Rhinolophus ferrumequinum: one gene and its partners. The protein of the gene in region 1 interacts with the protein of each later gene in a pairwise test. Links are inferred from orthologs where the notes say so. Each region holds a gene or a part of one and is shown in the gene's direction. Other genes may lie near its edges.

Region 1 (8,351 bases):
CTGAATTAAAATGACCCACACAGGCAAAGCAAGTGCAATAAAATGTTCCAGAAGCGATGACCTTTTTAATGTATAAGAATTACAAATGAGAGAAAATAAATTCTGACTGGGTGAAGTAAAAAGGGGAAGTGGTTAGGAGTTTCATATAGGACATAAGTTTTGAGTTGCCTTCAAAGAAAACCAGGTGTTCACCAGGTGGACAGAATGGGGAGGAGCATTCCTGGCAGCCCAGGCAGAAAGTGCAGCATGAACAAAGTCATAGCGTGATGAAACCATACAACGTGTGTTTTGGAACTAAAAACAGTATAGTTTAGCTAGAATGTCTTGTATGAAGAGACCCAAGAAGAAATAGGAGCTAAAACTAGAAAAGAAGTGACTAGATCAGGGTTAGTCTTATTTCTTATTCTACGTAGTAGCAGCCAAGGGGGAACTATTATTTTTAGGAGTGAAAATAATTTGTCCATATCTAGAGTTTAGAAAAAAATATTCTATTAAGGACACAGACAATAATTTGAACGCAGTAAGATTTTGAGCTGGGAGAACAGTTAGGAAATAGTAACAGCAAATACTTGGGCCAGAGTAGATAAGCATACCAGTAAAGGGATAGACAATGAGGGGTGTCTAAATAAATGTTAAGGAGATAGAGCTCAAAATCCTGGTTACCGGATTGACAGAGAGATGGCGAGGGAAAATTTCTGATTAATGCCCACTTTTCTGCCTCAGTGACTAGTAAATGATAGTCACTGAGATTTGGAAAATCAAAAGAGAAACAGAATGGGGAATAAATGTGCAGAGTTCAGTTGGGCCATGTTTTTGTTTATTTGTCTGTTTGTTTTTTTTAATTGTGACAAAATACACATAACATAAAATTCCATTTTAACCATTTTTAAGGGTACAATTCAGCAGTGTTAAGTATTTTCACATTGTTGTGCAACCAATCTCCAGAATTTTTTCATCTTGTGAAACTGAAACTCTACAGTATGTACATTAAACAACTCCCCATTTCTCCCTCCCTCTACCCCTGGCAACCATCATTCTACTTTCTGTTTTTATGAATTGACTACTCTAGATATCTCGTGTATGTGGAATCACACAATATTTGTCCCTCTGTGACTGGCTTATTTCACTTAGCGTAATATCCTTAAAGGTTCATCCATTTTATAATATGTGTCAGAATTTCCTTCCTTCCACTTCTTGTTCTCAGATGTTATGGCAGAGTCAAATTAAGTCCTGCTAAAATTACATGCTTAAGACAATCAGATATACTTCATTTAAATGTGATTTGTACTTCTGTGCTCAAAATAGCCAACAATTATTTCCCATTCCTCATAAAACCAAACATATCTCTCTGCACCTCATTTCTAAGTCCTCCATATGCATCATCAACATAAGGATTTACTAACCACTTTCTATGTGCTTGACATTGTAAAACAGGATCTGGTAACTACAGAAAAAAAAATGTTTTCATCATTAAGGAGTGTGCAGTTTACATAACAGTGTAGCTATAAGAGGAGATGATACAATTTTCCAGAAACAGCAAGCAATATAAAATTTAGTGTTAAAATATGTCAAAATATATAGGAAGATGGATAATTGAGGCTTAATTCCTGATGGAAGTATCTAGAGAAGAAGGAAACCTTTACACGTGTGTGGTTATTCAGGTTGTTGAAAGGACAAAAGGCCTACACCATAACCCACTACCTGCTTGCCTCTAACTGGTCTAATGCTTTGACATTTTTGAAACCTAATTTTAGCTTTGTTATCTTCCCAAGAAGTGAATATAAAATGTCATATTAATATATCATTTTACTGATGAGGAAACTGAATAATATTGAGATTTAAGCAACATATTTAAAGTTTGCAGCAAATAGCATAGTTGGGCCTAAATGACATATTCATTCAAAACACATTTATGAGTACTCACTATCTGCTAGATACTGAACATAGCACTGTTATTTGAGTTTTAACTCTTGTCATCATTTTAATCATCTGCTAAGCATTCCCTTTTGGTATTTCTTAGAGATATATTAAAACTGTTGCTTTGTTGTTATTGTTGTTTTGCCAGGAACCAACAGATCACAGAAAAATAAAATAAAATGGGACACAAATATAATCAGAATGTATGGAGTATTGTAGTTGGATAAGGTCATAATTTTACACAGTATCATCAAGCTACCTCTCTTTGAAGTCTCCCCTGGTGAGTAGGAAGATAAAGATACCTTTAGCTAAGGAAGTTTATCCAGGCAAGGAATTCAATTTGGAAGCAAGAAAGGAGGAGGCCTTTTAAGACTGGTTATTAGTGATTTATGGGCTTCTCTGCTTGTGGAAATCCTCCTGTTCAAAGCTTAAATCAAATACTACCTCCACCATGAAGGCAATTCTGATGCATCAGTTATTATTCAGTAATTCTTCAGTTCTGTTTAAGTAATCCCTTGAAATACGAGCTCATTTCAGGCAGCTGAAAGGAGAAAAAGTCTTCTCAGCAAATGGTGATTGGTTCTCCCATGAAACCACCAAAGTTCATTATACACTCACGGAATGATAAACAGAAAGATAAATAGACAAGACTGTAAGTGATTGTCTTATGATACTCCCAAAGAGAATGTAAAACCTTCACTCCATTATTGTGAGTAAAGGCCAAGAAGATCTACTAAGTGCTAGGCACCATACCAGGAATGAGAGTGATTAAAAAAACGCTCCATTTGAGGGAGGATTTGGTCTAATGAACAGTCTTAGGAATACAGATATGTAGTCAAATCATTACTATATGTTGTGATGGACACATTCCATAGAAGCAGCACAAGGTCTACAAGGGAGTGATTAGCTCTGCCCTGCCCGCTCCCCAATAACTCTGACCTCATCTACAGCCTCTTCCTCCCTCCCTCTTCAGCTACATTTGGGGTTCCTCGAACACACTAAGTATGTTGTTGTCCCAGAACCTTTGCGCTTCCATACTCCCTCTGTCTGATAGGACTTCATCCAGCAATCTACCCAGCTTACTTTTTCTTTCCATTCATGCCTCTGCTCTTGTATCACCTTATCAGAGTGGCCTTTTCCTGACACGATATAAAATTGCACCCTATCCCTCTTCATTACCCCACTCTGGGTCTTCCTATTCTGCTTACTTTTCTTTATAATCCTTATCACCGCGTGACATATGTTTAGTGGTTGTCTCCTCAGAATGAAAGCTTCATGAGAGGAGGACTTTGTCTTACTCACTGTCGAATCTATTAATATGTAGCCTAGAAGAGTTCCTGACACTTGTGGAGCCTCCATAAATATTTATTGAATGAATAAAAATATGGGAGGAGATAAAGTGGAATTCAGGAAAGAATTCATGAAGTTGATTATGTTGCAACAGAGTTCAGAAGGATGCAAGAGATTATCCTAAACAGATTCGGGAGACTGGGAATAGCAGGTAGAAGAGTGTTCAAAGGTAAGGGGGATTGGAGCAGCCGGATGGCTCAGTTGGTTAGAGCGGAAGCTCTCAACAACAAAGTTTCTGGTTCAATTCCCACATGGGATGGTGGGCTGTGCCCCCTGCAACTAAAGATTGAAAACAGCAACTGGACTTGGAGCTGAGCTGCGCCCTCCACAACTAGATTGAAGGACAACGATTTAGAGCTGATGGGCCCTGGAGAAACACACTGTTCCCCAATATTCCCCGATAAAATTAAAAAAAATTATAGAAAACAAAACAAAACAAAAAGGTAAAGGGGATTAAAACCATATGATTTGTTTAAATAATACAAAATGGTGTCATATTGGTGGAATGTAAATACTTTGTATGTGCTTCTATTGTATCATAGTCTCCTTTTCCCCTTGTAGGAGAGTTAGTTGTTTATCACCCTTTCTCTACAGAGCTCTTTGAGGGTAGGGGCTATGTTTTACTCATGTCTTTATTTTCCAAGTTCTTAAACAGCAGATGTCAGTAATTGCCAAATAAATGAAAAAACAATATTTACTGATTAGAGAGTATGTAAACATATTGATTTTTGTAATTAAAATAGATTTCTTTCCGTTGAAAAGTGAGTGTCCTATTTGAAAACATCATAACTAAAAGGGACTTTAGAGATCATCTCATTCAAATTTCCCATTTTATAGCTGAGAAAACTGAAGCATAGAAAGGTTGATTACCTGAGGTCATGCAACTATGTTATAGTTGAGAACGAGAATACCAGTTTTGACCCATCATGTGTCATCTTCTTGAAGGATGTGTTCTCAAAAGTGGCCTGAAAATTTGGCATTATCTATTGACTTAAAAACTGCACATACTTTATGACATATACACTTGTATTATACAAATGTGCAAGAAGTCATGGACATAGGTCTTCATTGTAGGGTTTTTTGTGTGTTAAAGTGAAAAGTTGAAAGCAATTGTACATCATTTTATGAGAGCTATGCTATAGAATATTATGAAGCACTTAAAAATGGACATAGTTTGACACATATGTACTAACACACAAGGATCTTTAACACACTGTTGAGTTAAAAAAAAAAAGCGATCTGCAGAATACATACAGTATTGTATCCTTTAAGACTAGTTAACCTCAATTTCTCCCACAAAAACAATACAATCTACATGAAGTAAATGTATAAAAAGTTTCAGAATGATTCACACACACAAAAAAACAAGGGCTGCCTCCAGAAAGGAACGTAGTAGATGAGGGGATCTTTGAACTTAATTATAATGCTTTATTTTAACAAGGAGAATGCATTACCTATATGTTAAAATTTTTGTTTGCTGTTAAAATTAATTTTTCAAGAAAATGGCCATGAATTATGATTTCTTCTCTATTTAGTGAGAAAAAAGGGACTGAAGTTAACGATTCTGTATCAAGGGTGATACAACACGTAGAGAATAAAATAAGGCCTTTCAGAAAATTAAAAGACAGCAAAAATGGTTGAGAAAATAAAGCATCAAGGGCAGAAGGGAACAATGGAGTACTCACAGGGAAAGGCAATATGGGTTATTAGAAAACGGCTGGGGGAGGGAAACCCTAGTTTACCAGGGAGAAATCAACGCTAAAAAGGCTAAGCGGGATTCCATAGGGGCGGGGCCAACTACGGTGCGCACGCGCAAAGAGGCCCAGCTGGCCGCCTCTGCGGAAGCGAATTCACCTAAAGACCTCGCGCCGCTCGTCTGCTGCTGCGCGTGCGCAGGCGGGTCAATATCGGAGACTTCTTTGCCGCCTCCGGCGCTGTGGCCGCCTCCAGTGGATTGGAGTTTTAGCCTTTCTTTGGTCGCCGGCGGGTTCGTGCCCCTCTCGCACCGTCGGGCAGCGAGGCTGGGGAAGGGGTTGGAGGGGTCTGTTGACCGCCGCCTTTAAGTTGTGCTCGGGGCGGCCATGTCGGCCGGCGAGGTCGAGCGCCTAGTGTCGGAGCTGAGCGGCGGGACCGGAGGGGATGAGGAGGAAGAGTGGCTCTATGGCGGTACGGAACTTCCTGTCCTTTCTCTCTCTCCTGGGTTCTCTCAGGCCTCCCCTCCTGGCCCACAAACGGTCGGCGTCCCAGGCCTCTCACGCTGCCGTCTGGGGCCTCTCGTCCGGCCTAAGTCAGGCGGAGCGCGGTGTGCGCGTCTCCCCGCCCCCTCGGCCTCCTCTCGCCCTGCGAAGGGCTCCCAACACTCACCCGAATCGTGGCGGCGGGGATCCGACCGGGGTCGCGGGGCCAGGCCTCCAGTCTCTCCCGCCTCCCCGCCGGGGCTTCTCGGCCGCCTCGCCTTCGCGCTCTTTCCTCTTGTTTTTTATATCGATTGAGTAGTGTCGCTGTGTCTCTTCTTACCCCTTGGCTGTAGGATGCCCTTCCTGTCGCTTTTTTCAGAAACAATCATTCTGTAATAATAGCTAAATAAAGTCGATGCCATAAAACTAACGTCTTGTTTCTTGATGGTCAGTTTGTATGGAATGCACCTGCAAGGGTACCTCCTTGTCTGAAAGTCGTGCTTTAAAAATAATTAATTAAAAGAGAGAGAAAGAGATGGAATACATTATGGCCCATAAAGAGAACCCCGAATGTCTCCTGTATTAAGGTGAAGTTTTTCTTATTTAAGAGATTGCTCTTTAAACCACACTATAGAAGTACCATGTGTCCCTTAGGTTTATAGTTTTCACTGTCATCTCGTGTTTCTTTTCTCGAAATAAATTTAGTGCATCTTGTACTTTTTGAAAGGGACTTTTTTAGACATCTGTTTAATTTTTATTAAGCCATAGTCCCTTCTTGCCTGTTAATCGATATTAGATTTGAAAGTTAATATTTGTTCCTCGTCTAAAATGTATATTCTTGATTGTCTTTAGAATAGTGTAGTGAAAAACGTTTGGCCACTATGCGGCTAGCTCCTTGATGATGTGACTGACAAACTTGGATTTTCATCAACCTGTAAAATAAGTATCTTTAGTGGAAAGATTTAGCATTAGGAATACTTTAGAATGTAAATGTATAGGGTTTCTTTTACAAAGATCTAGAAGTCTTGAATACCTGTTAAGTTTATTTTTATAGAAGTCAAGTCTGATTTTATTTTTATTTTTCATGAAAGACATATCTTGTTAAGTCATTATAAGGTGATCTAACTTTGGATGTGCTTATAGGCCCATGGGACGTGCATGTGCACAGTGATTTGGCAAAGGACCTAGGTTAGTGCTTGTGATGATCACTTCAGATTTTCATAATACTGGTTTCTTTAAGAGTAGTTTGTTTGTTAATTGTATTTATTTATTTATGTATTCTTTTTGGTAGATGAAAATGAAGTTGAAAGGCCAGAAGAAGAGAATGCCAGGTTAGTGAAATTTCTTGTTGATACTTAACACAGGTTGTATGAAACAGTGATTCTAGCAACACATTACCATAATTATTTCATTACAATCATTGGTTTGGTTTGATTACAGCGTTTTGAATATAGGTTGGAAGACAATGAATCCTTTGCAGTTTATTCCTATTGCAGGACCTATTCTTAAACCAGTCTGTTTATTTGCTAGTAGCATAGGGGACGAAGTTTTTGAAGTAGGGGTTTAAATACTTTTCACTATTAAGTAAGTTTTTACCCTTAAGTGAGCTCAACAGTGGAGTATGCAGTATAACCGTTAGGATACCAAAAAAAATTTTTAAGTTAAAATTTTTGAAAGTAATCTCTTACTACTTTCACAATTTATTAATATTTCTGATGGTATAATGTACTTTGGTTGTAATTTCAATGTTTTGTATTTATTTAAATTCAAACTGGAATTAATGATTCCCTTCATTAGATTACTAGAAAGGTATGAATATTGTTTACAAAACATGTACAGGGAACCAGAAACTTATTCTAAATTTCAAAACAAATCACACATACAAGTCCATGGATATGCTAACATTGCTCTGACCAGATTCTTTAGTGTGGCATAATGGGGAAGAGGTGGTTAAAAAAACAGCTTTTAAAGAATATTTGGGTTTAAAATATTTGGCTGTAATAAAAAAGACAGTAAAAGGTGTTGGTGACGATATGGAAAAATTGGAACCCTCATACACTGATGGTGGGATTGTAAAATGGTGCAGCTGTTTTGGCAAAAATCTGGCAGTTTCTTAAAAGATTAAACAGAGAGTTACCATATGATCCAGGAATTCCACTCCTAGATAAATACCTTAAGAGAAATGAAAACAGACCCACACAAAAACTTGTACAGTCCTCACTTCATTGATAGGTTCTGCGATTTTAAGTGAAACTACCTAAAAGGAGACCAATTTTACCACTGATAATAAGCCAGTTATGTTCCTACAGCATCTCATCAACATAACAAAAGTATGTTGAACGAAAGGATGTTATTTGAGCACCTGCTGTACATGAATGCTCATAGCAGCATTATTCATAATAGCCAAAAAGTAGAAATAACTTGTGTCCATCAAATAATGAAGGGATAGATAAAGCGTGACATATTTATACAGTGGAATATTATTTGGCAGTAAAAAGGAATGAAGTACTCGTGTATTACAGCATGGGTGAACCTTGAAAACATGCCAAGTGGAAGAAGCCAGTCACAAAGGACTACATATTATATGATTCTGTATTAAATGGACAGAATAGGTAAATCCATGAAAGAAGATAGTCTTTGCCAGGACTGGGTACAGGGCAAAATGGGGAGTGAATATTAATACGTACAAGGTTTCTTTTTGGGGTGATGAAAATGTTCTGGAATTAGTTGTGATGGTTGCACTATTTTGTAAACATACTAACAACCCTTGAGATGTACACTTCAGATGAGTGGATTGTGTGACATATGAATTATATCTCAAAGCTGTTACTTAAAAAACAAGTGAAGGGAAGGAAGAATTGAGAAGTGAAAAATAGGTATTTACCTAATACTTTAGTAGAGTATTCT
Region 2 (8,394 bases), on another chromosome or scaffold:
GACCAAATAAATATTTCTTATATCACAAAACGCAATGTGATAAGACATTTTAAATGTAAATAGCCTCCCTAGAAAAGGAATATGTACTATTGCCCAAATGATAAAACTTAGGGAGACAGAAACAACAAGGGCTGGTTGTTGGATAGCAATCTCTACCTGGCTGTGTGTGACCGCTGGAAGAATGGTGTCTGCTGAAAGATGTCTACTGAAACGACCCCTCTGGCTTTGCCATCTCTACAGCCAAGAGCCATGTGCTTGGTGGGTGGTCATGGCACTGCTGAGACTTGCGCAGCATTTCTGTCTGCAAAACTCTGGGGACAACTGGGAGGGGAGGACAGAGGCCAAGACCCTTCTGTGTCTAGGCCACAGCCGCTCCCACTGCCAGAAGCGCCCATGTGACCTGATGGGGCGGGGGGAGGGGGTGCGCTGCGGGCTGAGGGGCAAGCTGCCCCTCAGGGCCCAGCCTCAGTCATGGTTGGGAAGGGGCCCACTTCCCAGGCAGGAGTGTCTCCTGCACCCGGGCAGCTGGTGGGTCAACAAAGCTCCTGCCAGGTCTCCTGTCACTAGGGCCCCTTCTCCCTCCAGCCCTCCCTCCAGCGACTCAGTTAATTCTGTAACCAGACCCAAGCCTCGCTGAGTCTGTTCAGGGCCAGGAAGAGTCATTCTGGCTTGAGTTTCCAGGAGCAAAGGCCTTGGGCAGCAACGTTGTTCTCACACAAAGGACAGTGCCATCCGCCACCAAGCTGCTCACGAGGTTGGTTACAGGGACCCGTGTCCATAGGGAGAGAAAGACGCCTGTGTTCTAAAGGGACGTGGGAGAAGGGACAAAGGCTTCTGTTGTAGCAAATGCCAGTGTCCAGGCGAAGAGAATTAATCGCCTTTCCTGTTCTACAGAAGGCTGTTGCCAGACCGCAGGAGGCCGTGGGTGAGCCCTGGGGCTGGGTTCAAGTCTGCCTCTGCCCAGAGACCCTTGGGAAATGACTGCACCTTTCTCAGCCTCTGTAAAAGAGGAACCCTGAGGACTGTTGGAGGAGTAAATGAAATTTTGCACGCACACACGCACGCGTGCGCATGTACGTATAGTGTGCAGTGCCCGATGCTCTCGATCAATGGTCATTATTATCAAAGTGACTATCCTTGTGTATCCAAACACCTGCAGCTGGCAGGTAAACTCCTGGTGCAGAAGGTGGACAAAGAAAACAGGCAGATCGCTTTCTGAGCACAGAATGAACTCACTGGCTAATGTACAACTTGGCAAACTTTGCGGGAGTATCGCGTGTTGTTATGTTTATGCCACATCAGGTTCTGTGAATCCATTTGGTTGTAGCAGCCGTCCCAGGACCGCTGCTCCCTTCCAAAGGGCAGCCCAGCATGAGCAGAACTGCCTGGCTTTGCTTTGGACCCATGGCCGTATTAGGTCCCAGCTCAAAACAGCAGGGCTTTTGTTTCTGTTTTTCCACTTTTTCTTCTTTTCCGTTTTGAGAAGGAGCTGGACATGGGAGCACAGTGAGCACCCTTTCCCTGCTGGCTTCATGCATGAGGCTTTTGCCCAGGGAACTGCCTCTCCGTGCAATGTGAGAGGAAGTACTGAACCAACGAAGGGAAACCGCGGCTTCCTCTGTGGTAGGACTGCTGCAGACTATCTGACCAACGCTTTTCACTTTCACGGACTCTTGGAAATTTGCCATAAAATTACATCAGGTTTAAAGTTTTAAAAATCACTGTATGAGCCTCTTTGGTGGTTTACTCAATGGGAACAAATTTTTTTTATTTACTCTGTAATCACACATTTTTATAACTTCCTCCCATTATGGGCCCAGAACAGCACAGTATTCAACCACATTAAACCAAATGAACAACAACAAAACCTAATCAATTCTTAAAATTATGTAACTAATAAGGATTCATACACCTGGACTTAAAAAATGCTTCTGTGAGATTGAACCATCTCTAATAAGACTGACCCTGGAGGTGGGGATGAGTTAATTATTCTGAGATTTAAATAAAGAATGTACCAAGCAAACCAGAGACAATGAAAGCTAAGGGGGTATAAATCTGGAAGCCTAATTTCTAGCAGTATATAAGTTTATGTTTTCCTTTCTGATAGTTGGGTTTTTTTATTGCCTACTTGCCCTAGTATGCTGGCTAGGATTTCCTGTTGCTGTGTATTGGTTTGTTATGATTTGTTATGCCTTAAGTGAAGTTATTTTGATCGAAGGGTGAATTTCTTTATATGAGGGGTTGTGTCGGGATGATGTCATCAGCATTATTGTGCTTATTAATATGAACACATGGAGGAGTGACTATGATGTAATGAACATTTAAACTGTGGTACCAAGAGTGTCCAGTCTGGGCAAGGCTACTCTTGGCTCATCTAAGTAGCTCTCTGAGGCACCAGCTCCTGCCATGGCCAGGCTACTCTCTGCCAGCACTGGTGAAAACTGCAGTGGCCCGTGGAGGAGACCATCCTGCCCGCCAACACTGGCGCCTGTGTTCCACCAGCATCGCACTCCAAAAACAGGGACTTTCAATTTGCGCTGGCAGCTGGGTGTCAGCGCTTGATTGGCTGAGCCAGCTCTCCCGAGAACCAGCAGCTCGTAGAGAGGTGCACCTCAGCTACATCTGGACTTAATCTCTTTCATCTCCCCTTTGCTTGGAACAATGATATACTTATCTATCATTAGAGTATATTTCTTTATTGGCTTATTAAGAGATATTATCCTGTATGCTATTGGCTTGTGACATATTATTATAAGTTGTAATTCCTGCACTGAACCTATGTTAAATAAATTATTGGCAAAGACACTGTCAGTGTCTGAGCATAATTTTGCCATGAACAAAACGCCTATAAAATGTTGAATAAAGTGAAAGTGGATGCATTTGCTTTGTTTCTGATAAAAAGTTTCAATATAACATCATTATGGTTTTAGCGTTAGGGTTTTTGATAGATTCCTTTTAATAGATAGATGATGTTCTATTTTTGTTGATTTAAAATGATTGGGTATTGAATTTTGTCAAATCCTTTTTAAAATTTATTGAAATGATTATATATTTTCCCCCATTCTATTAATATGGTGAATTGTATTAATTTTCAAGTGTTAGTCCAAGTTTGCATTACTGGGATAAACTCCACTTGGCCATAATGTATCACCCTCAGTATATATTGTTAAGTTTGATTTCCTAATGTTTTCTAAAGGATTTTTGCATCAATTTTTATGAAGAATATTAATTATTCTTTATTTTTTGTGAGGTATTTTTATTAGAGTTATGTGTGCCTTATTAACAAACTGGGACGTGTCCAGCCCCTATTTTCTTAAAATTTTAATGTTGGTGTTACTTCTTCCTTATACATTTGATGGAATTCACCATTGAAATCATTTAGGGCTGGAATTTTCTTTGTGAGGTTTTTTTAATAACAAATTTAATTGATTAAATATAAATATATAATATATAATATAAACCATATTTGGTCATGATACGTAATCACTTTATGTATCACTGGATTGTTTTTGCTAACATTTTATAGCAGTGTTAATATTGGCTGCATAGAACCGGTTAGGAAGTCACTTTTCTCTGTTTTCTGGAAGAATTTGTGTAACATGGGTATTAGTTTCTCCTTGTTTGGAACCATTTACTAGTGACACCATCTGGGCCTGGAGTATTCTTTGTAAGAAGGTTTTAAATTATGAAGTCAATTCCTTTAGCAGATAGTATGCAGATTTTCTAAATATTCTTGTTCATTTTTGGTAATTTGTGTTTTTCAAGGAATTTGTGGAACTTATCTAACTTGTCAAGTTTCGTAATGTTTGTCTTTTAAAAACCTATGGAATCTCTATACTGAATTCTTTTTTCATTCCTCATATTGGTACTTCGTGCTTCTGCTTCTTTTAAAAAAAATTGTGGTAGAAGACCCGTAAGCTAAAATTTACCACCTTAACCATTTGTAAGTGTAGACAGAGTTCCGTGCAGTAAATACACTGGCCCTGTGGTCCAACCGTTTCCATCCTGTGAAACAAGCCCTTTCCAGTTACCAGTATCTCCTCTCTCCCCAGCCCCGCCGCCACCAAGCTGCCGCGTCGGTGATATTGACGCCCGCCTCCCTCCGAGACCAGCCCACGCTAACGCGCACTGACGTCTTTCCCAACGCCCTCTTGGGGAAATAAAAACGTAATCCCTCTGCTTCCGTTTGTCAAGTGGAAAGAATGACAAATGGTTCACACCTCACAGCGCAGTGAGGTAACTGAAGTACAAGAAAAACACGAGAAAGGGGGTCCTGATCCAAAAACAGCCATTTCTGTCGCCCATAAATGGGTTTCCGACAACTGTCCCCTGGCCTCGCTCCCCGTCTCAGAGTCGGGAAGCAGCCCCGGCGCCGGGTCCCCTTGCCCCGCCCACACACCAGGCCCGGCGCTGCTCCCGGTGCTCAGCTCCCGGGTTAGCGCAACGGCCACCGGCGCGACAAGTGACACGCGCCCGCGCGGCGCGCTCGCCCCAGGCCCGGGCCTCTTCGCGAAGGAGCTGAGCGCCTCGCGCCCGCGCGGGCGGAGGACGGTAGCTCCACTTGTCCGGACAGCGGAGCGCATGAAACAAACTGGGATGTGTCCAGCCCCTATTTTCTTAAAATTTTAGTGTTGGTGTTACTTCTTCCTTATACATTTGATGGAATTCACCAGTGAAATCATTTAGGGCTGGAATTTTCTTTGTGAGGTTTTTTTAAATAACAAATTTAACTGATTAAATATAAATATATAATATGTAATATAAACCATATTTGGTCATGATACGTAATCACTTTATGTATCACTGGATTGTTTTTGCTCACATTTTATAGCAGTGTTTATGCTGGCTGCATAGAACCGGTTAGGAAGTAATTCACTCGTCTCTTTTCTGGAAGAATTTGTGTAACATGCGCATGCGCGGGGCCCCGGCCCCGGGGTGGGGCCTCCTCCGCTGACGTCCTGCTCGCACTGCGCCTGCGCGGGCCGAGGGCTGTGGCTCCGGCTCGTGGTAGGCACCGTCCGCCCCTCCGCGCTGACTGTGTGGATCGCGCAAAACTCAGCGGACAGACGCGGCTGAGGTAGGTTTCCCGTGGGCAGCTCGGGCGGCTGAACCGCACGTAGGCAGGACATGCCAGGTGAGAGGGCCTCGCCCGACGTGTGCGTGAGCGGGCTGACCGAGGCCTCCGCCCCCTTCCGAGACCACCCGTGTCTTCCCCGCGAGCTCGGCGCCCCGCCCCTTTCCGCAGCCACGCCCTTCCGCAGCCACGCCTCCAGGCACGCCCACCTCCCGGCGCGCCCTCTTGTCAGGCGTGTCAAACCCTCGCCCGCCCTAGGCCGATGTCACACTCCCTTCCCCGCTTACTCCCGGTGCTGCGTCAGCGCCCCGCCCCTCCCTTTACGCTCTCCACTTTCACCCCAATCTCGTTGGCCACCTGCCCCTCGTGATCCAGGGGTCGCTCCCCCCCACAGTGCACGGAGTCTGCGTCTCTTTGCGGTCCGCTCACCTGGCCCGCCCCGCTCTGGCCCCGCCCCATCAACCCGGCCCTCCCAGTCCTTGGCCGGCCCTGTCCCATCCTGGTTCCAGTGCAGTTTTACAATGAAAATGCAACGTATGTATATTAGTATTTGTAACCACGGATGTCACAAAATTAAGTATTAGGTCCTGATTTACAAAAGAAGCACTCATTTTAAGCAGACTTGCTATGTAATTGAGAAAACATCTTAAAACGTACTGCAGATTACACTGTCACTGGAAAAATAAGAATTGAGAATGAGAAGGAAAAGCCTCTGGAAGATGCAAACCTTGGCTCCTGTTAGTGGAAACACTTTAAAGCTCCAGGTAGGGAAGTTTAATTGGAATTAAAGCTAATAAGGTTCCAAGAAAAGATTTGACATCGATTTGTTTTAAATCAACCCTGTGATCTGACAGAAAACAGATTTCAGCCAGTGATTAAGAGTAACACCTTGCAGACTAGTGAAGAAAACACATACTTCTTTGAAGTTCATAAATTTTAAATGCTTTCCATTGTTTTTGTAAAGAATTGGGTTTATAAATTTTATTTCTGTTCCATTCATTACACATAACACATTTGAGTTCTATTTGGTAGAGGACCTTTATCACGGACCTTAGAAGCTTAATTATTATGCAATGTAATGAAGCATTTTCTCATTCTCTCTTTTAAAGCAGAAATGGAGAGGAAAATGAAACATTAACAGTGGCAGCTATGCGGCACATCCTAAGAGAACTATGGCAACATCAGATGACTGCCCCGGAAGTGAATTGCAGGTAAGTTCAGTTCTGGTGGTGAGAACATGAACATTACAGAGCTGAGATCATCCACAGTGATGGCACTTTCGTTGGGTGTATGAACGTGGCCACCAACCACATTGTAAGCATTTCCTAGGAATCTAGGGTTCCGTTTTTGGTACCTGTGCTGTTTAAGCAAGCACATTTTCTTAGTTGTTCAATTAAGTTCCAGGCATAATCCATTAAAGGCAGGTCGAACACCTTAGAAAAGATTTATGTATTCATGCTGCTTTTCTGCCTGGGACACGTAGAACTTCATTCAAGTTAGCAGTAAAATTTCAAGGACTGTTGATTAGGTAAAATTAAAAACTAAAGGAATACTCAAGTAACTTTTTTTTTTTTTAAGATTTTTAATTTTTTTTATTGGGGAAGGGGTACAGGACTTTATTGGGGAACAGTGTGTACTTCCAGGACTTTTTTCCAAGTCAAGTTGTTGTCCTTTCAGTCTTAGTTGTGGAGGGCGCAGCTCAGCTCCATGTCCAATTGTCGTTGCTAGTTGCAGTGGGCGCAGCCCACCATTCCTTGCGGGACTCGAGGAATTGAACTGGCAACCTTGTGGTTAAGAGCCCACTGGCCTATGTGGGAATCGAACCGGCAGCCTTCAGAGTTAGGAGCACGGAGCTCCAACCGCCTGAGCCACCGTGCTGGCCCACATTTTTTTTTTTTAATTAAACCTTTCCATGTCTGTGATGTTAATTTTAACATTTCTTCTTTTCATTCTAATGATCTAATTTCATTTAAGTTTTTATATATAGCAATTTTATTTATATTTGGGTCATTTTATTAATCTTTCTTAAAATTAATGATAAAATGTTTTAATTCCATAGCTGTTTCATTTTTCTTTTGAGAAATATAAAAGATATTGGAACATTTACAGAATAATATTGGAAATACCCAGTACATATTATACAGAAGTGAAAATTTGTTAATGTTTTGTCATGTTTGCCTCAGAATACACACACACACACACACTAAACCATAAATAACATTTATTCCCCAACCCCAGTCCCATTTTTCCTCTTTCTCCACAGGCAAACGCTATGAAAATTATGAATTGATCTTTGTGCTCTGCACCATTTTTTATACTTTTAGACCATAAGGTCTAGGCATCGCTTAAGTGGCATCATATTCTGTGTGTCATCTGCAGCTGGCCTTTTGCACTAATGTTACTTGGGGGATTTTTCCTTGGTGTGTGTGTGGAGCTGGTTCAGTCCTAAAGGGTGCTCCTAGAGCGTGTTCCTTATGGGAACAATATGTATTAATACATAGGTCTGTGTACACTGGGTATACACCACATTTTCTGTATTTCCCTGTTGTTGGACACTTACATTGTTTCCAGTTTTTTCTATTCCAAAGAGTGCTGCAATGACCGTCCATGTACATGTCTCCTTGTGCACATGTGCTCTAGGGTGTATACCCAGTAATGGCATTGCAGGGTGGAAGGGATTGTATCGTTTCAGTTTTACTAGATAATGATCGATCGTTCTCCCAAGTGGTCTACCAGTTCACAGATCTGCCAATAGTCCACAGTGCTTGCTAACACTTGAGAGCATCAGACTTTTTCAGTCAATCTGATAGGTTAGAAATGGTACCTTGTTATTTTAGTTTTCTGATTACTTGTGAGTCATGAATTGACTCTTTATCGACTTACTGTCAATTAAGTCAATATTGAAGTAGTATTTCAATAATATTTGTGTTCATCCTGGTTATACCACCCTCCAGTACAGAAGAGATGTCTGATGGCCACAATTTGTGTTTTACCTCGTTTTTCCCCTTGATCATTTCTTTTAAGGTTTTACTAATTTTATCTTTTCAAAGAACCAGTTTGTCTTTGTTGATTTTCTCTTTGTTCACTTATTTGCTTATTTCTGCCTTAATCTTTATTTCCTTTGTTCTATTTGGGTTTAATTTTCTCTTTTTTTGGCATTCTGAGCTGGAAACTAGGATCACTGGTTTTAAACCTTTTTTCTCTAATCTATGTCTTAAAGCTAAAACTTTTCCTCTAATCTCTACTTTAGCTGCACCTCACACATTTAAAAACATTGTATTTTCATTATTGTTCAGTCAAAATACTTTATAATATATCAC
Region 3 (8,040 bases), on another chromosome or scaffold:
GAGGGAGGCTGAGACTGACGGATCCTCCCTGAGCCCAAGACCAGGCCTGTCCAGGAGCCACACACACACCTGTGGCCTGTGCCACTAGCCTGCTGGTCCCTGTGCTGCAGCAGGGAGCTTTGTAGTAGCCAGGAAGGAAAGCCCACTCGTTTCCCACCACCTATGGGAACTCTCAACCCCACTGCTGTGGGCTACCTTCCCTCCAGCCCGACGGTGAACTCTTTGAGGGCAGGGGCCAAAGAGGTCTTTGCCTCTCTGTGGGCCTATTGTGAAGCCAGGCCTGGCACTCAGTAGGTCCTCAGAAAATGTTAGTTCTGTGAATCTCAGGACCCGTGCTTCCCTTGCTTCCTTGGTGACCCCATCCATAGGCCTGTCCCCTGGGTCTGAGCTGGACGAGAGGCTGGGTTCTGGGCAGTGTGGTGAGCAGGCTCAACCCCAGGGGGCCATTCACAGCAACAGCCTCTTGAGATGCTGTAGATGGCAGCTCTGGGCGACTAGCTTCCTCCAACTGCAAACCCCCTTGGCCCACGGCTGTCTTTGCCCCATCCCCACCCCTAAACCATCCCCCTTCAAATCCCGGCTTCACTCCTTTGTTTTTTTTCATCCATGCATTCAACCAGTAGTTACTGAGTCCTACTATGTGCCAGGCAAGATCTATCTGCTGAGGCTATAGCTGAGAACAAGATGGAGCTCCCTCAAGCAGCTTATCCTCTGGTGCGGAAAGACAGACATCAAATGAGATGACCAAGAAAAATACATAGTATGTGGAATGTGCTATGAACAACAATGAAGCAGTAAGTGCCAGAAGGGTATAGGAGATTCAGGGTTAGATATGCCAGCCAAGCAGGGCCTCATCCACAGGGTGACAGGTGACCAAAGATGTGAAGGAGGTGAGGGAAGAAGCCCCTTTGCTATCTGACGGTATGGCCAGAGCAAAGGCCCTGAGGCAGGAGGACGCCTGGGAGCAGAGAGGAGACGGGGGTGGCTGCAGCACAGTACATGGGGGAGGAGGCCAGCGAGGGCTGAAGAGTGGTGGTAGCAGACCTCGCTGGCTTCATAAGCCATTGTGAGGACTCTGGCTTCTCTTTGTTTATTTCTCAACTTTTCATTACGGAAAATTTCAAATATACACAAAAGTAGAGAGAAGAGCTAACTACAACAATTATTAACATTTAGACAGTCTTGTTTCATCTACACCCTGCACTTCTCCTCCAAACAGAATTTTTTAAAGCAAATTCCAGACATCATTTCATTCATAAAATCTTCAACATGTACCTCTAAGAGAATTGTAAACAAACGAATGTCATTATCAATACTTAAGAAAGTGAATACCTTCAACATCACTGACTACACTGGAAATTTTGGAGAAGAGTTAATGCTATCTGCTTTCTGCTTTAACTGGAAAGTTCTATGCTGTGAGCTGACATCAAGGCAGAAGGTGGCAAGAGCAGTGGGGAGCCCAGTAACCAGGATAACAGCTGTGAGGGCAAGGAGCAGGCTAAGCCTGGGCGGGCATTCAGGGGTGGGATTGTGAGAAGTGTTAGGACTGACAACATTTTGAAGTTGGTGAGAGAAAGAGAAGAGTTAGGAATAACCTGAAAGCATTTGGCCTGGGCAGACGGAATAATGCGGTTGCCAATTAGTAAGATGAAGAAAGTGCAGGGAAAACAAGGTTGGCAACAAAAATTTCAGGTCCATGTGGGTAAGTGGAAGGGAGATGGTGAGGAGGTAACTGGATACACAGATCGGGAGTCCCCGGGAAGTCCAGGCTGGAGATACAAATACAAGAGCTGCAGTGAAGGGGGGCACTGAAAGCCAGGGGGCTGGCGGGTCACCTGGTACAGCACCCAGGTGAGGAAAGACAGAGGAGAGAAGAGCCGTGAGCATCCCAACCTTTAGAGATTAAGAAAGCAAAGTGGCCCCTCACAAAGTACTGGGCTACCGTCAATGGAGGAGCCAGGAGCAGCAGAATCCAAAAGTTCCCTCACCTTCCCTTCCTTGATCAGGTGTTTGCACTGAAAGAAGTACCAGTAAGGGGTGTTTCTCCGGCCTTGCCATGATTTTGGATCCAGTTCGTTTTCTTCATCTTCTTTAACACTCTGTTCCCTGAGCCGTAGGTTATACAACTGGGCCGTTGATTTGCGGAACATTCTCCGAGAAGAGTATTTATCGGAAAGGGTCCCAAAACTCTCCTCCTCCTCTTCCTCCTGGTTGGCCATGGGGCTGGGCTGGCTCAGGTCAGAGCTGCGGTTGTGCGTGTTCTTCTGGCTCCCCTGGCTGAGGGGCAACTGAGAGGGCGAGCTGCTGAAGGCTGCTGATGTTGGCCCAGTCGGCCCCATGGCCCTCAGCCAAGCAGGCCCCTCCCTAGCTCCTGCCCACCTGGCTCGTAGAGGGTCAAGGCATTGCAGGACAGACAGTCCCATGGGGCGGGGGCTGGAAAAGAGCCGGGAGAGTCTCACAAGGTCCATCTCTGGCTTTTACCTCCAGGGCCTGGCACAGGTCAGAAAAATATTGAAGTTAACTCAGGTTCATAGTCCAAAAAAGGCAGAAAGACAGAGAAGTGGTCATAAGCATGAGCCCTGAGGTTAGAAAGCCTATGTTCTGACTTCAGTTCTGCCAAACAACCATCCATGAGTCCCTGGGCACTCAATGCTCTAGCCTCAGTCTCCTTGCCTGTAAATTGGGGTTAACTATAATGTCACCCACACAACACTATAGCAATGATTGAAGTCTCAGATATACAGTGTGCAGCACAGTGCTGGCACATTAGGCACTCAACAGACATAAGCTACGGATATTATCAAACTATGATCAAAGAGCACGGTGCTGAAATCACAGCTGAGTTTGAGTCCTAGCCAGAGCTGTGTGTCTATGCCTATTACTTGACATCTCTGTGTCTCAATTTCTTCAGCAGCAAGGTAAGGATAACCCCACTTGCCTCAGCACGAGATTATAAGGACTAATGATATATTTTTAACACAATACCTGACAGTTAATAGGTGTTCAAAAAATTGCAGCTATTAATCATTTAATATTAGGAAAAAAATTGTTGGCATTTTGGGCCTCTGCACAGGAAAGCTAACTCAAGCACTTCTTTTCTGCAAGTCGTAGACAAATGGGCTAGAACTGTGCTGTCCAATATGGTAGCCACTGGCCACATGTGGCTGCTGAGCACATGAATACAGCTAATCTGGAGATATGCTAAAAGTACAAAATACACATCAGATTTCAAAGGCTTTGCACACAAAAAAATCAATGTAAAACACACACACAATTATTTTACATGTTGAAATGATAACATTTTGGATACACTGGGCTAAAGAAAATTTAACATTAATTTCACAATTTTTTTTACTTTATTTAATGTGGCTACTTGAAAATTTAAAATTACATAGTGGTCACATTATATTACTACTGGACAGTACTAGGCCAGAGGTCCTGCTCTGTATACTTAAAACTCTTTCATAAAAAAATATCAGAGTAACCATTATGAAAATATTTTAAGGCCTGGTTATATCAGATCACCACTGGAAAGACCTCAGAGGTGACGGCAGACTAATAACTGAGGCCCAGGTAGGGAGTGACATGCTGGGGGCCCTGCAGCAGTGCTGTGGGCAAGGCTGGCCAGCGGTGGAAATGGGCTGGCTTTGAGCCCAGGTCAAGGACGGCCTCTCTTGACTAGCGCCCTAGAGACACTAGTGCAGAGGGCCTTCACCATTCCATGGCTGGTGAGGCCTGCGACTCCAATAGAAAGACTCCAATAGAAACAATGGTAGCATATATGTAATCTTAAAATTTCAACTAGCCACATTAAATAAAGTGTTTACATGCATTAAATGAAATACATAAGATAACAAAAAAAAATCGAGATAGGTATCAGATGTCTTAAAAACAAACTTAACGCTATACTAGGTATATAAGCTTCTTTTCAACACACTAAAACAAGATCCTATCTATCATCCTGTTAAAGTAGTAATGAGTGGAAATGATAGCTTGTAGTAGTTGCACATACTCTATCTCCAACTATCCTTTACACGCATCACCACTTGAAATCACAACTTCGTCTTGGAGTTTTGGGCACTGCTAACGCTACTCGTTAGTCGGGAAAGGAAATGCTCAATTTCACAGAGACAATAAAGGTGTAATTTTCCTACCCAAGTTCATTAATCTCCCTAGGCTAAGAACCACTGAATTAGAGATACGCTGCCGCTGTTCTCCCTTGGGGGACCAGCCCCTCCCCAGACATTCCTGGAGCCTCAGGCCAACCCAACCCCTCCACACTGATCTTTAGAACCTCGGTTTCCTCACGGGACGCCCCGGGCTCAACGCCGGCAGTGACACTCGCTGCCCCTCTGGTCTGTCCCCGCCCAGGTTCCACGCTCCGGTGAGGATCAAATAGGAACTCACTCCGAGTCCAGGGCAGTGAACACGGCCCCGATGTCCGCGCCGCGTCGCCCGACTCCGGGTCCGCGTCCCCAACCCGCCCCTCCGTGCTTCTGACTCCCCTTCCCCGCCCCCCTCTCCGAGGCGCGGAGTCCCAGCCAAACCTCGCGCAGGCGCAGTCTACGTTGCGAATTCCCTGCGCCTATAAGTTATTCGCGACCGCGAGGTGAGACGCGGGTTTGGCTGGCGGCTGGCAGGGCCTAGCGGAGCGGCCCGTACTCCGCGCTCGATTGGTCCGGTCTGAACAGGCGAGAGGCAGGCGCGGGCTCTGGGCGCTCCCGGCATTCCGCGGGCGGCGGCGGCGGTGGCGGCGGCGGCGGCGGCGGCGAGGCGAGGCGGAGGAGGACCGTGTGCGGTGGCGGGTGGCAGGTAGAGGTGTGAGAGCGGCGAGGTACTGAGGGGAGCCGGGCCGGTGGGGCCGCCGCCGCCGCCATGCAGGAAATCATCGCCAGCGTGGACCACATCAAGTTCGACTTGGAGATCGCGGTGGAGCAGCAGCTCGGGGCGCAGCCGCTCCCCTTCCCCGGCATGGACAGTGAGCGTGGGGCCGGGGCGGGCAGGCGAAGGGTGCGACCGACTCGGACCTGGGACCCGACCCCGTGGACTCATGACCCCACCCCCTCGGTCCTCGGACTTGGACTCGGGTCTTTGATCCCCTGGGACTAGTTTAAGACAAACTTCAGGAGGGCAAGACCTAGTCTGGCTGTTCAAATAATTCTTGAATGAAGGCGGGTACTCTGGGTTGAAAATCCTTCCCCCACCCCCGCACACTCCCCGCCTGCAGGAAAATACCGTATAACTCTCTTCCCCCCTCCAGCCCCCTACTGTGAGCGAGCTCCCTCTTCTTGCTCTCGTCAGAGCTGAGTCTGGAGGAGTCTGGCTGAGGGAAGGAACTCCTCTGTAGGATATCCTCAGTTAGACTCTCAAGCTCCTTTCTCCTAGGACGCACACTCCTGCGAGCCTGTCTCTTTTTCTCTGGACCCCAATTCTGAGTCGTTCATCATACCCTGGCAGCTGCCTGCGCTCCCCCCACTGTTGATAGCACTAGCTTGAGGCTGTGGAACCATCCATGCAGGACAGCTCTTTCCATCCCACCTGTCTCTAGCCTGGGACCACAGATACTGGAGTCTGTGAGGGCAGGCGCAGTGGTGAGGGGCCCACAGACCTGTTTCTAGGGAGGGTCAAGGACATAACTAGCCACGGGTGCTGCCCTGACTGGCCTCAGACTTGGTAGCTGCCCTCAGCGCACTGCCTGCCAGTGATCAAGTCCAGTGTGTTAAAGCCCAGGGAGGCCACAGGCCCTGTCCCTGAACTTCATTTCTTAGTTTGGGGAAGAATTGTCTGTTCTGCCCTGGAGGCATATTCTTTTATTCTGTCTGCCTGACACCCAGTCCCCAGGACTGGGGACTTCGGGCTTTAAGGAATGAAGGAAGCAACCCTAACTCTTTTTTGTGAGACATTTTGAAATGCAAATGAGTGACAGCCCAGGACTCCCAGTTCCACAGCCGTTAAGTCTCTCCCAGCAAAATATGCCTGCTCCCGAGAAACCAAGGAATCTCTCGCAAGTTAGCAAGAAGAGGCACGGAAGTGGCCTTCAGAGATGCTGTCTGTAGGTTTTCAGCAATTCTGAAATGCCCTGTGAGAGAGAAAACTGTTTATGACACCGGAAGGTTTACTCTGATAGCAGGGGTAGTCCTGGGCGCATTGGAACAGCCTGTCCCCTGAGCCCACTGACTTCCATTGCGCTCACTCAGCCTCTGTTCTCTTGCTCCCCTCATCTGAACTAGCTGCATCTGTGGAAGCAAAAGACTGCCCCTTTAATAATTGTGTGTTGCTGCTGCATATTAAGAGCAGTCCTACTTCTGTATCTTCAATTATGCTCTCCCCGCCCAAATAGCATCTCTCTGGAGCCTGTCCGTCCTCGGTCCACATTCGCTTGTGTTTCCTGTGAGATCATTCCCTCCTTCTGCCTCACGTTAAATTAGCCCTCTGGAATGTCCAAGCACAGTGTAATTAATTTCTGTGATCTTGTGCTCCATCCTTCCTTCCCCCACACACGCTTGACTCCTTGAAAGCATCTTTATTGTAGGAAGCTCTCAGCCCTGAATAATGATTACTCTCAACAATATGTCTCATTTTACGGGGAGTGACTGAAATAAGCAACTTTCTTCTTGCTTGGTTTGGCTTTGCATTTTTTTTGCCAGTCTGTTACCTATACCATGAACCCTTAGTGGGTTAAAGACCAGAACAGTTCCCTCCCCCATCTTCAGATGTTACCAGTAGTAATCCTACGTTGCTTTGATTGACGCCTCTCCTATTCTCTCCTTTCTACAGAGTCAGGGGCTGCTGTCTGCGAATTCTTTTTGAAAGCAGCCTGTGGCAAAGGTAAGAGACCCCTGGCTCCCTGGGGGATGTTCCTTCCACCACCCTAGCCCTTAGCAGACTTGCAGGCCATCAGGTCTCTAGCTTACATGGCTTTCTGCAGACAATGTCCCTAGATGAAATTGTGGTTTGGGTAGGCTAGGTACATGAGAACATGATGGAGTGTTTTGCCTGAAACCTAAAACACAGGATGGAAGCTGGCTCTGAATTGGCCTTCTCATCTCACTTTCCCTGTGGCCACAAGCTGACCTATGACATGAACAGAAGCGCCTAGTACTGAGATGCTCAGGCACTTTCTCACAGTCACAGAGTTAGTGAGTGATTGAGCCCAGTGTTTGAATCCAGGCCTTTCTGGTTCTACGGAGTCGACACGGGCTCACTGTCCTTTGTGTCCTCTCATCAAAAAACCCCATGATAGTGTCTCGTGGAGTCACGTTCATACTAACCAGGGCCCAACAGAGGCTGCATGAGCCAGACTACCTATCCATTAATTCATAAGAAGTCTCGCAGGGCAGGACCTTACATACCATGTAGAGGTCTGGGCATCTTTCTTCCTATAAGCAATTTTAATCACAAGCTTAAATAGGGAGCACAGAATTAGAGCAAGTTTCTTTTTTATGGCTGATTTTGGCAAGTTTGGGTTCTATAACTCAGTCATTTACAACTGAAGCAATAGACCTATCAAGTGGATCCACCCGGTTGACCTCTGGTGTCTAGTTGGAACATCATCGCCCCTGGGCTGGTTTCATGGCCACGTCCTTGCTTGGTAATTGTGCCTTTCTGACCTGCCACCATCTGTCCTTAACACCAGCAATATGCCAGTCTCTTTGTTAACTAATACAGTAGCCACTAGTTACATGTGGCTATTAAAATTTAAATTAGTTAAAATTAAATAAAAATGCAGTTCTTCAATCACACTAGTCACATTTTAAGTGTTTTATAGCCACGTGTGGCTACTGGCTGCCATACTTGACAGCATAAATATAGAATGTTGCCACCATTGCAGAAAGTTGGCAGTGGGTGGGTCTAGATCTTTTCCAGTCACAGCCTCATTCTAGTCAGGCCTTCCCAGTAGTCCTGCCAGGCCACTGTTTAGAAATATGACTTTCGCAGATATAGCTCTGTCACATCCGGATGGATGATCGCTCAGGTCCGGCTATAGAAGGCAGACCTCCCCGAGTTTGTATACAATGCATTTCTTTAATTCTATACTTG

The links.
Region 2: the proteins of FIP1L1 (region 1) and PRMT2 interact in a two-hybrid assay, tested with the Homo sapiens proteins (2 studies listed by BioGRID and IntAct). The link is inferred for Rhinolophus ferrumequinum from reciprocal best matches to the Homo sapiens genes FIP1L1 and PRMT2.
Region 3: the proteins of FIP1L1 (region 1) and CPSF4 interact in binary tests that used the Homo sapiens proteins (3 or more experiments, as listed by UniProt). The two-hybrid records come from large-scale screens. The link is inferred for Rhinolophus ferrumequinum from reciprocal best matches to the Homo sapiens genes FIP1L1 and CPSF4.

Annotation. Positions count from the first base shown.
Region 1 is NC_046288.1:15,958,601-15,966,951, forward strand, and holds the start of FIP1L1 (pre-mRNA 3'-end-processing factor FIP1), read left to right. Parts: upstream 1-5,124; 5' UTR 5,125-5,348; coding exon 5,349-5,433; intron 5,434-6,587; coding exon 6,588-6,632; intron 6,633-6,735; coding exon 6,736-6,775; intron 6,776-8,351.
Region 2 is NC_046285.1:109,210,169-109,218,562, forward strand, and holds the start of PRMT2 (protein arginine N-methyltransferase 2), read left to right. Parts: upstream 1-4,920; 5' UTR 4,921-5,077; intron 5,078-6,183; exon of another isoform or gene 6,184-6,186; 5' UTR 6,187-6,246; coding exon 6,247-6,285; intron 6,286-8,394. UniProt on the Homo sapiens protein: Arginine methyltransferase that methylates the guanidino nitrogens of arginyl residues in proteins such as STAT3, FBL, histone H4. Acts as a coactivator (with NCOA2) of the androgen receptor (AR)-mediated transactivation.
Region 3 is NC_046290.1:89,659,868-89,667,907, forward strand, and holds the start of CPSF4 (cleavage and polyadenylation specificity factor subunit 4), read left to right. Parts: upstream 1-4,723; 5' UTR 4,724-4,875; coding exon 4,876-4,978; intron 4,979-6,777; coding exon 6,778-6,828; intron 6,829-8,040. Other genes in the region: PTCD1 (pentatricopeptide repeat-containing protein 1, mitochondrial), read right to left, coding at 1,989-2,468. UniProt on the Homo sapiens protein: Component of the cleavage and polyadenylation specificity factor (CPSF) complex that play a key role in pre-mRNA 3'-end formation, recognizing the AAUAAA signal sequence and interacting with poly(A) polymerase and other factors to bring about cleavage and poly(A) addition.